2 linked regions of the Schizosaccharomyces pombe genome follow. The protein of the gene in region 1 purifies or fractionates together with the protein of each later gene. This does not show direct contact. Each region holds a gene or a part of one and is shown in the gene's direction. Other genes may lie near its edges.

The links. The genes of interacting proteins can lie anywhere in the genome.
Region 2: the proteins of tra2 (region 1) and eaf7 purify together in Schizosaccharomyces pombe (affinity purification with mass spectrometry, with the first as the bait; one study listed by BioGRID). This does not show direct contact.

What each region holds. Positions count from the first base shown.
Region 1 is NC_003424.3:257,334-263,140, forward strand, and holds the start of tra2 (phosphatidylinositol kinase-like protein Tra2), read left to right. Parts: upstream 1-2,277; 5' UTR 2,278-2,385; coding exon 2,386-2,449; intron 2,450-2,510; coding exon 2,511-5,807. Other genes in the region: plasma membrane potassium ion transmembrane transporter Trk2, read right to left, coding at 1-851, 887-1,787, 1,828-1,982, 2,023-2,128.
Region 2 is NC_003423.3:4,258,803-4,263,446, reverse strand, and holds eaf7 (NuA4 histone acetyltransferase complex subunit Eaf7), read left to right. Parts: upstream 1-1,985; 5' UTR 1,986-2,127; coding exon 2,128-2,284; exon of another isoform or gene 2,285-2,374; coding exon 2,375-2,508; exon of another isoform or gene 2,509-2,570; coding exon 2,571-3,098; 3' UTR 3,099-3,635; downstream 3,636-4,644. Other genes in the region: RNA-binding protein Cip1, read left to right, coding at 1-974. UniProt on the Schizosaccharomyces pombe protein: Component of the NuA4 histone acetyltransferase complex which is involved in transcriptional activation of selected genes principally by acetylation of nucleosomal histone H4 and H2A. The NuA4 complex is also involved in DNA repair.

The sequences.
Region 1 (5,807 bases):
AAATATAGCATTCATAATTCGATAACCAACTGGAATTTTGTCAACATATGAATTACCCAAGTCTAAAACCATAAAAAAGAAAAAGGAAGCAAAATTCAATAAAGTTAAATTTAAAAAAAGCACCCAAGTAGTTTTTGAAGGAAACAGAAGAGTAAAACTTCGTCGAGGGTGTTCGAAAAGAAAGTACAAAGCTTGCTGGAAATTAGGCGAAAATCTCGTTGTTCGTATCATAATCCAAATTATAAACCGGAGCATAATTGGAAAGAAAGTATTCCCTAAAAATATCAGAATAGTTCCAAGAACCTGAGGAAATATGGCTTTTTGAAAGGAATTTAAAGAATCGCTGTTCAACGAATAGCCTAGATTATCAAACAGCGAACTAGAAGTAAACGCTGCCCACCAGCCTCTATTTATACCGCCGTCCGTAACTACACGACCGGATGTTTTAGCAGTATAAATGAATATTAGGAACGCAACCAAACCAAGAATATGCCAAAACAGAAAATAAACCACTAATATGACAGTCAATATCCTGAGAGATTCATATTCAATTCCCGCCAATTCTTCTCTCTCCACTGGAGTTAAGGCATAAAATGCAGAATTTCTGCCCACTGTTGCATTGTACGATAAATAAGGTAAACTCATTGTGCTAGCTTTCGTGTGAGTACGGTTGAATGTGAGTCTTCGAGGAAGAGCAGATGTAAATGATTTGGCTAATTGAAATGGTAGGACAGACATTGAGCGCTCATTCCTGTGAAGTGTAGGTGTAACAGCAAATGATTTACCACGTTTTCTACCTCGTCCATCAAGTCGATGAGCACCTTTTTCCTGCTCAGCTCCATTCGTGTCATCTAAAGGTCAATATTAAAATCACGGAATGACTTACCAGCAAAATATATAGGCCTGCGATTATGCCTGGGAACAGGGGTTGGTGCAATGGTAATTGCAGAGCCGCGTACTACATTTTGATGTGCATCGTTAGTAGTTGCAGCAGCCTGATGATCAAAATTCGAATTTTGAGGTGAATAAGATGCTACATGTGGATCATTGTCAACTCTTGTTGTGCTGTAGTTTGAGTTTGAGGATGAAACAGTTTCCTGATTACCATCATTTGCAGTTTCTAGGGAAGGATTGTGCGAAGAGATAGAACTGTTGTTATCCAGATGATGGTTCAGTTGTGTTTGATTCTCGTGGTCATGTACTTGAGGCTCAAAATCCTCAGGAATTGTTTGAAAAGATGATTCTTCAAACGAACTAGGAATGTAAAAGTCGACAGGATTATTTCTAGCATTGTTTTGTACAACGGATAAAGATCCATTGTCGATTGATGCCATTCTTCGTTTCCCAAGAGCTGGACTTAATGCTTCAGTTCTGTCTTCATTTTCTTGAGAATTTCTAACACCTGCATAACTAGGGAGAGCGGGCATGGTATTCCCGCGAAAGAAGCTTGGGCGATCGATTGCATTAGCAAATTTCCTTAGACGAAAATGGTGCCTGTGATGTTTTTCATTCTCTTGGTGTTCAGCTTCCTCAGCCTTAGTCTCTGGGGCAACTGGCCGGTGCATTTGATTACCCTGGTCTAACAAAACCCGAATTTTTCGATTGCCAACTTTGGAAGGCTCTGGAGTATCCCTTCTTCTTACAGTGTGATAAGTATATGTCATCCTAAGTTTATTATTTGTTATGACCATGTCATATCGCTTGTTATAGAAGTACAGCTTAAACAAAGTCAAGCCCAGGTTCACAGTAATTGGTGTACTCAAAACTCCAAAAAGGAGAATAGTTAACTAAAAAATAGTTAAAAAATTTATTTAAAAATATGCATACCTGTTGGTAAATGGATATCTGCGTGAGGTCCACAGGCTGCAAGCCAGTCTGAGTACAAGAACCAGAAGCCAACAACAAAGCATCTATGTAGCGCAAATTTCCCGACCCATACAATATTACTGAACATAAAATAGTCATTCCTATTATAAAAGAATCTTGAACAAAGTTAGGCTTGAAAAGAAGTTTTTCACATACAATGGTATTCAAGGAACCGGAACCGTTTGTAGAAAAACCCGATAACTGCATGATAAAATCTGTATAATATTTTCCTTCTTAAAAACCTTCTATATCGTACAAACATGTCATAGTTTATAAAGCAGTATTATATTGTATTTGATAAAAATTACACTCACGTCGATTTCAAATAGCTTCAGTGGCTTCTTGAATAGTGCAGTTTTGCGTCCTCACTATACGATTCACCTTGAACATAGCAACAACTAAACAACATCTGACAGTAATCGTTCTGTGCTTTTTTACAGCTGTGTCCAAAATCTCGTAGTGTATCAAGTTTGGTTTCAAAGATTTATTAAAAAGTATCTGCATGGACCGAACTTTGTTATGGAAGACGGTTTTGAAAAGTCGCTCAGCAGCTCTATAGAGCTACTGAAAGCTGAAAGTACAGGTATATAAATTTTTGTAGATATTTTGATTCATTTTTTTATTTTATACTAACTTTTTTTAAGAAATAGAAGAAAAAATCAAACTAACTAAAATTTTAATTACTAAGGTTTCTAGCATATCTTCAGACGCCTCGCAGCTGTATGCAGAATTAATTCCACTACTCTTGGATTTTTTACGAAATACAGAGGTGAATCTTTATAGAAATTCTTCTGTCAATGAACTCAAGATCGAAGCATTGACTTTAATACAAAGTTGCGCTCACCGTGATGAATTTAAACAATATGCGCAGTCTTGTGTGCTTTCGTTCATTAGCTTGATTAAAGCAGATAATGAAGAAGTCGCTGTTTTTTGCTTAAAAGTTATTATGGATATATTCAAAACTTTTAAGTTTTGTATAGAAAGCACTGCACAACCCTTTTTTGACTTGGTACTTGAGCTTTCTACAAACCTTCCTTATTTAATTCCCTCAATATTTGTCGAGAATCCAAAATCAAATGAAGAGGAAAATACAACCCTGGCTTTTGGTAGTTATCTGTCTACGGAAACTTCAATCATCCAACAGCGTGTCAATTCTTTAGCTATTTCTACTCAACCTTTGGAACTGGCTTCTCAAAGTTTCCGCGTGTATGTAGAGTGTCCGGTCATTATAGTTTTGATTCTTCAAGCATATCGTCAAGCTGCTTTCCCTGGTGTTCAAGCCATAATTCCCTGTTTTCTTAAGATGGTACAAATTGATGTTCCAATAGACATCGCTTCATATGCAATGATTGAAAAAGATTCAAGCATTGACTTTATTGAGTTTATAAGGAATAAATATCAGTACCGTAATTTTTTTATGGCTCAAGTAAAGACTTTATCTTTCTTGGCTTATATTTTACGAACTCATCCCAATACACTTTCTGAGAAGGATATAATACCGGACATTGTAATAAAGCTTTTGAGGCGATGCCCTTTTGATATGTGTTTTGCCCGTAAAGAACTGCTGGTTGCTACGAGACATATTCTGTCAACAAACTTAAAATCTCTTTTTGTCAAAAAGCTGGATTTTTTGTTAGATTTAAATATATTATTAGGAAATGGAGTTGGTACTCAAAAGCTGTTACGTCCCTTGGCATTTAGTACATTAGCTGACTTACTTCATCATGTACGTGACGAACTTAACGAAACGCAAATAAGAAAATCTATAATGATTTATTCGACCAATATGCATGATTTGACTCTTAGCATTGGGTTACAGACTATGGGTGCCCGGCTCATTTTAAACATGGTTGACAGAATGATTAGTCTTCCTAGCATCCCCGATGCTATATTTCTTCTTTTATCTATTTTTGATAGCTTTGTAAATAAGTTTTCGGAACTTAATGATAGTTTGGATCAGTTTTTTAAGAAAAAGTATGAAGAAGAAATTAAAGAGACAAAGTCACCGACGCGTTCTTCTCCTAGGGATTTATCTTCATTTAGCACTTCCGTCAATGATGGATCATTTCTTTTTAAAAACTTGATGTTTGGCTTACGGGCTCTTATGTATGGGCTTCGTACATGCAAGTCTCGATGCATAGAAATTGGAGGTGAACAATTTTCGGGATTCCTTACGAATATCAAGCCTTTCGAAGCTGTTACGTTTCAGAAGCTTTTTTTTGAGGTTGGCAAAGGATTCTCATATTTTCGACCTGAGCAAGTCTATTTAGAAACTTTTTTCTGCTGCGAAGAAGAAAGTTTAGATCGCCCTGCTATATCTACGCTTCCTCGTAACAAAGACGAGAAAGATTGTCTTGAAGTATTTGCTACCATTTTTATACATCTCGAGCCATCTATATTTCTTAAAGTTTTTGAAACAAACCTTCCTACTTTTTTTGATCAACTTAAAAAAAATCTCACATTATTTCACATTCCACAGTTTTTGCTTTCAAATGAGAGCACATCATCAAAATTTTTAAATATTTTACTTCGATTTCTGCTTTCCAGAATTGAGGAACTCGGATCTTCTGACATCAGGCATGGTTCTGTCTTGTTGCGTTTGTTTCGTCTTTCTTTCGTTACAGTCTCAATGTTTGCAACAGAGAATGAGCCAGTTCTTCGGCCTTATGTATCTGAAATTATTGTGAAATGTATGAAGTTGGCTCCCAATTCTGCTAATTCATTGAACTACTATTATCTATTAAGAGCGTTGTTCCGAGGAATTGGTGGGGGAAGATTTGAAAGCCTTTATAAAGAAGTAATGCCTTTGTTGCACGCTCTATTAGAGGCATTTAATTCATTGCTTATATCTGCCCGTACTCCGAAGGAGAAAGACCTTTTTACCGAACTTTGTCTTACTATTCCTGTAAGGCTTAGTCTTTTATTACCATACATGAGTTATCTAATGAGACCTCTCGTCATGTCTTTAAAAAGCAGTCAAGAATTAGTTAGTCAGGGATTACGAACCTTTGAATTATGCTTGGATAATCTCACTCCTGATTTTTTGGATCCGATAATGGCTCCTTACATAGAAGATCTAATGAATGCTTTATGGAGTCATCTACAACCTCTTCCTTATAATTATAATCACAGCCATACTGCCTTGAAAATACTTGGTAAACTTGGTGGAAGAAATAGGAAGCTTCTTGATAGAGTCCAGAGTTTAAAGAATTCGCCGGAACCGAATAACGATTTTACTTTACTTCTTTCGATAAAAGGGGTTAAACAACCACAACTTTTACATTACACCCAATATGTTGATGAGGCTGTGAATTTGCTTTCTAGCCCTTCTAGTGATCTGGAGGTTAAGCAACAAGCGTTCACTTATGTTTGCAATATTTCAAAGCTCTATGTTTATAAGAGTGACGCTACTAACAGCTTAGCCTCATCCATTCGATGTACTGCAGACAAGATTTCTAAGAGTAATTTTGATTTTCGACGACCATATTCTGTAATACCGAGCCGAATGACTGGAAGGAGTTCATTCACCCAACTGAGTGATGATTCAGATGAAACCATAATTTTGGCCTCGGCTACATATGGACTTTTTTTTGCTACGACGGTTGATGAACTCCGCGAAGAAGCTTACTTCTGGCTTGAAAAACTGGCGGTCAACGTAATTGTACACGATATTTTTTATGCTTTTGACGTTATTCAAGGAAATCATTCAAAATTTACGACTAATTTGCAAAAGGAGGTTATTATTAGTCCTCATTATTTTGCTCATTGTCTATCAGAAGTCGTTTGTAATGACAATAGCAAGATGGGTGATGCTGTGAAACATGTACTTAAATTTATGTTTAGTTTTTTAGAATCGATTTTTGAAAATCCAGAAAGGGCTTTTATCCTTCCAATTTTTGAGGTCTTATTATCTGATTTCCGGCACAAATGTTATGACCCTC
Region 2 (4,644 bases), on another chromosome or scaffold:
CCGCAGAGCCTTCGTTGGATGCTTTTAACAGTACCCAAATCAAAGCAGGATCGACTGCCAATTCTAATTCAACACCGGTTGAACCCGGTGAAGATACCATTCCAACGGCTATTGTTGTGAAAAATATTCCTTTCTCGTTGGAGAAAGATACATTGTTGGATCATTTTAAGCAACTAGGTATTCCCAGACCTTATGCCTTTAATTATCACTATGACAATGGAATATTTCGAGGATTGGCTTTTGCTAATTTTTATCGTCCTGAAGAGGCTCAAGTTGTTGTGCAAACGCTTAATGGCTATGAAATTAATGGCAGACGTCTTCGTGTTGAATGGAAACGCCAATTACCAGCTGCAGAACGCGAGAAGGTGGAAAAAGCAAAGAAACGTCAAGCTGAAGAAAGACGTCGTAAACAGCAGTACAAGATGTTTGAAGTTAGCTTTACTGATCAAGGCTTAAATTTGAATGACACTGGTACCCTTGAAACTTATAGTAGACTTCTATTGTTTGCTCATCAATGCATTCCTTCTCGTGAAATAACATTTGAAACCACTTCTAAGGACGGAAACCTTCTAAATGCCATTAGAATCTTTTGCCTGTACTTTGATCTCGATTACTATGCTCGCCCGAATGGAGAGGTGTTAAAATTAGTAGTTACTCATCCGAATAAAAAGAATACGAGCGTAAGTCAGTCGCAACCTGCATCTCCAAATTTAAGATTTAATATGCCGGCACCGTTAGCTACTCGATTTTTGCAAGAGCATTCATTGAATGGTACTAAGAGTGCCCCTATAACCCCACCTCCCAGTTTCGCAGTACCATTGACAAACCAACTTCGTTCGATTGACGACAAAATTTATGGAAATGAATCACCGCTTCAAAAGGCTTCTACTTTGAGTTCACCTTTCAATTCAAAAAATGATAATGATGCTTCTACCTCCGCTTCCAAGCAGAGTTTTGGTGTCTCCCACTTTTAGAGTCTATGCAATTATAAAGAAACTGTTTATGTACCTTTTAAGATATGATTTTTGTTTACGCCAACTATAGATGCATTTACTATACGCTATTTGTTTTGACTAAATTTTGCTCTTTATCCCTTTATCACTTACTTCTGATGAATCTAAACTCTATGGGCTTCATTTTGTTGATTTTTTGTTTTCCCTTTCACATAGTTGGTTATCCAGCAAATAATCCTTTTAAATACTTAGAAGCTTATATTTTATCGTTTTGAATTCCCACGACACATTTGGACGACTCGACTTAACAGCAATCAATGATGGATATATGTTGGGTGAGGCATAATGTTTTATGACGATAATCAACGGATGAGCGATGCTCCTATTTTTTTACAAATTATAACGATTTTTCTTGTATAAGAAATTTATGCCCTACCGTATAATATACACATACTTTACATGATTAAATTTAACCTTGGACAAATACATTAGTCTGATATTACAAAATTGAACTTTTATTTTTGTAAATTTAATCATCTTCTTTATGTGGATGTGAATGTTCCTAGCTTAGTATTACCGTACTATGGATATAGAAATAAACCTACGATTTAAAGTCTATTTTCTACCAAGCTTGTAGGGCTTTAAATGAGCTACTTTAAAATTACCTAAAATATCGTTAAATTTTCCTATATAATGCGAATTGATTTATATGTAAAAAAGAAAAAGAAATTGCAAGCATGGTGGACTTTTAGTTCCATTGTTAGTAAGTTGTAATTAAAGGAAGTTACAAAGGATTCACTAAAATAAGAATACTTTATGGGTTATCGCAGCCTTACTCAATTACTGCACTTGAATGTCTATTGAATTTAAGAATGAAGAAAGGATAACACAAAGATGCACGATTCTTTTTGGATGAACTTTTATTTTTTGTTAAGGTTATGAAAAAAGATGAAATACACTTGACCTTGTAATTACTGCAGCTAGAAAAAGAAAATATTATAAAAACCAGTTTCATGAGTTATGGCTGGAAGTACCGCACAACACCATAAATATTGATAATCTGCTATATTGCCGATAATATAAAGTTAAATTAGTAGAAAAAGTAAACTAAGAAACAGAAATTTTCTTATTTTACCCATATAAACCTATGTATTAGAGGATAGCAATTGTATTTATGAGTTCGAGGGGAACAAGATCATCAACTGCTGCCGAGCAGAAAAGGCAGGAGGATGTAAATAAAGAATCAAATATGAATGATTCTGTTACTGAATGGTCTGTTTTAGAGGAAACCTTACTGTTAAAAGCTATTTGTCGTGGATTGCGCCCTGTAGGTAAGTGTTCGAAAGGTTAATTGCTCGGTCTCTTATTTTAAAAGCTGCATGTTATCAAATTATTGCATTCATTCACTAATTAAAAAATAGGAATAGAAAAAAATTTTTATATGATAGGGATTTTACGAGAAATTCGTGATGGCTGCAAAAGATCAACAATTAAGGCTCAGGACGTTTGGAATAAATTAGGAACACTTTATAATTTGAAAGAGTTTGAAGAATTGGTATGTCAAAAAGCCTTTTAATTTTTTGTTTTCAAGTATTTGTTGACAGTTTTTTAAATTAGGAAGCTCCAGGAAATGAAGAAGTTAAGGCGAAAGAAAAACGAATAAAGTCGCCAGATGTTAAAGATTTTAAATTACCAAAAGATATTCTTAAAGTAAAAGAAAAATCCGAGAAACCATTGGAAACATCTCAAAAAGTGGAGATTGAAACGGTAGAAACTAAACCCGGTGAACCCGAAGTTAAGCAGGAGACGAATTTACAGAAAGAGAAGAAGGAAAGTAAAGTCAAGCTTGAATCTAAAGAAGAGAAAATTTCTCGGAATTTACGATCCTCTTCTAGAAGTATTTCTCCTGTTACTGAACAGCCGCAAAGTCCAAAGATTCAGCCTGTTATTCCCGAAAAAAAAGAAAAGTCTGAAAAGAAAGAGAGTTCCATGACTTTGCGAAAAAGATCCGTCTCGCCATCTTCTCAAAATACAGCCCGTTCTCCAAAGCGTATGGCTACTGAGCCCATAGAGCCTGCTTCTTCACCGGCAGCTTCAAACCAAGCTATTCGCCGTAGCTCTCGAAGCCGGAGGCCTCCGACCTAGCTCTTGTTAACAGAAAAACCTAGGATGGGAAAGACTGATTATTTGTACATATCATTTATGCTTGGTCTACTCTAATGAACGGTTATTTATATATGAGACCAAAATTAATTATCACAAGGGATTTATAAAAAGTGAAAAATAAAAAGAATTATGATTTTACTACAACTAATATTTTGTATGTCAAGGAGATTTGTTTTAGCAGAATTATAGGTTTAATGGGATCGACGGCATGTCCAAAACTAATTTGCTTTTGCAGTTTTACTCCTTTTTGATGCTCGATTCACGTAATGGGAAAAGACGAACGGCTTTGTTACAAACAAATTTACTCTGATTTACCGCTACGATTTTTGAATCCCGTCACTTCTTTACTGTTCGTTACGATGTTTTATGTAGCTATATATACTGTTTGATAGCTTGACTTGCTAAAAAAAATCTTCTAACTGTGAGTTTTCAATTTTAATTCGATAGGTCCATATGTTAATGTCGATTTGGTTGGAAATATGTTTTAAAGTATGTTTAACACGCATAGACAGAGAGATTCCAATAGGTAGTATACATATTACTTTCAAATTGATGAGCAAATTGTTTTCAAAACCTTACACAGGTAACGATTTGATCAATGAATTTTTCAATTCCGGTGAAACGGACTTGAGTATTCACATGAGTTAATGTATTATTTATCGGCACATCAGACCATTGCCTAGCAGAGTCTGCCGAATTTAACAACTTTTAAAACACAATAGATCTATAAGTACAGCTCTCTAATAGCAAAGCAAAACTGAGCAACCCGTCATTGCGAAACCTTTAAAAGACATCAAAAATACACAAACGCGCTTGCATTCAGGTACATAAACATGCAGCGGGATCTACTTCATAGAGTTTCGTAGATTCCCTTACTTGAAAGGTTAATATCGTACATAATTTTCATACTGTGAGGCAAAAATCTCATTAATATTTAGTATTCAACAACATAAAAACAATTTTAGCAATTAAACTTGAAACCGTTTAATAAACAATGGAAGTACACTAACAAAGATAATCCTAGTGTCTCTCTATTCAGAATTGATATTCGCCGTTTTACCGACCTGATAGGGTAATAGGGCTCACTATCAGTTACACATAGAAGGATTACCAGTTTATCTATCAGCACATAAAATTTGATATAAATAGTGCATCTAGCCCAAAAGTAGTAAGAAGTTTTTCCTATATATATATATAGCGGCCTTCCGCTTGGTAGATTTCATCTTTGATGTATTCACACACATTCTTGAAAACTTTGAATTGTTTAGTCAAAGACATTGAAAGCAACTTGTTCATTGAATTAATTAATTGTTCAAATTGGTCAAACAGTCAAACACAAGGAGAGATGCTATTAATTCAACGGCAAAGTCTCGTCCCAAAATTGCCATGATATAATAATTTTTCCAAAAAAAGAATAAAATGTATGTGAGATGAAATTTTTTAATGAGAAAACTCGGTATTGTGGTAATGAAATAAAGACTTATGAAGGAATAAAGACGCTGATGAAATATTATTGTACAATTGG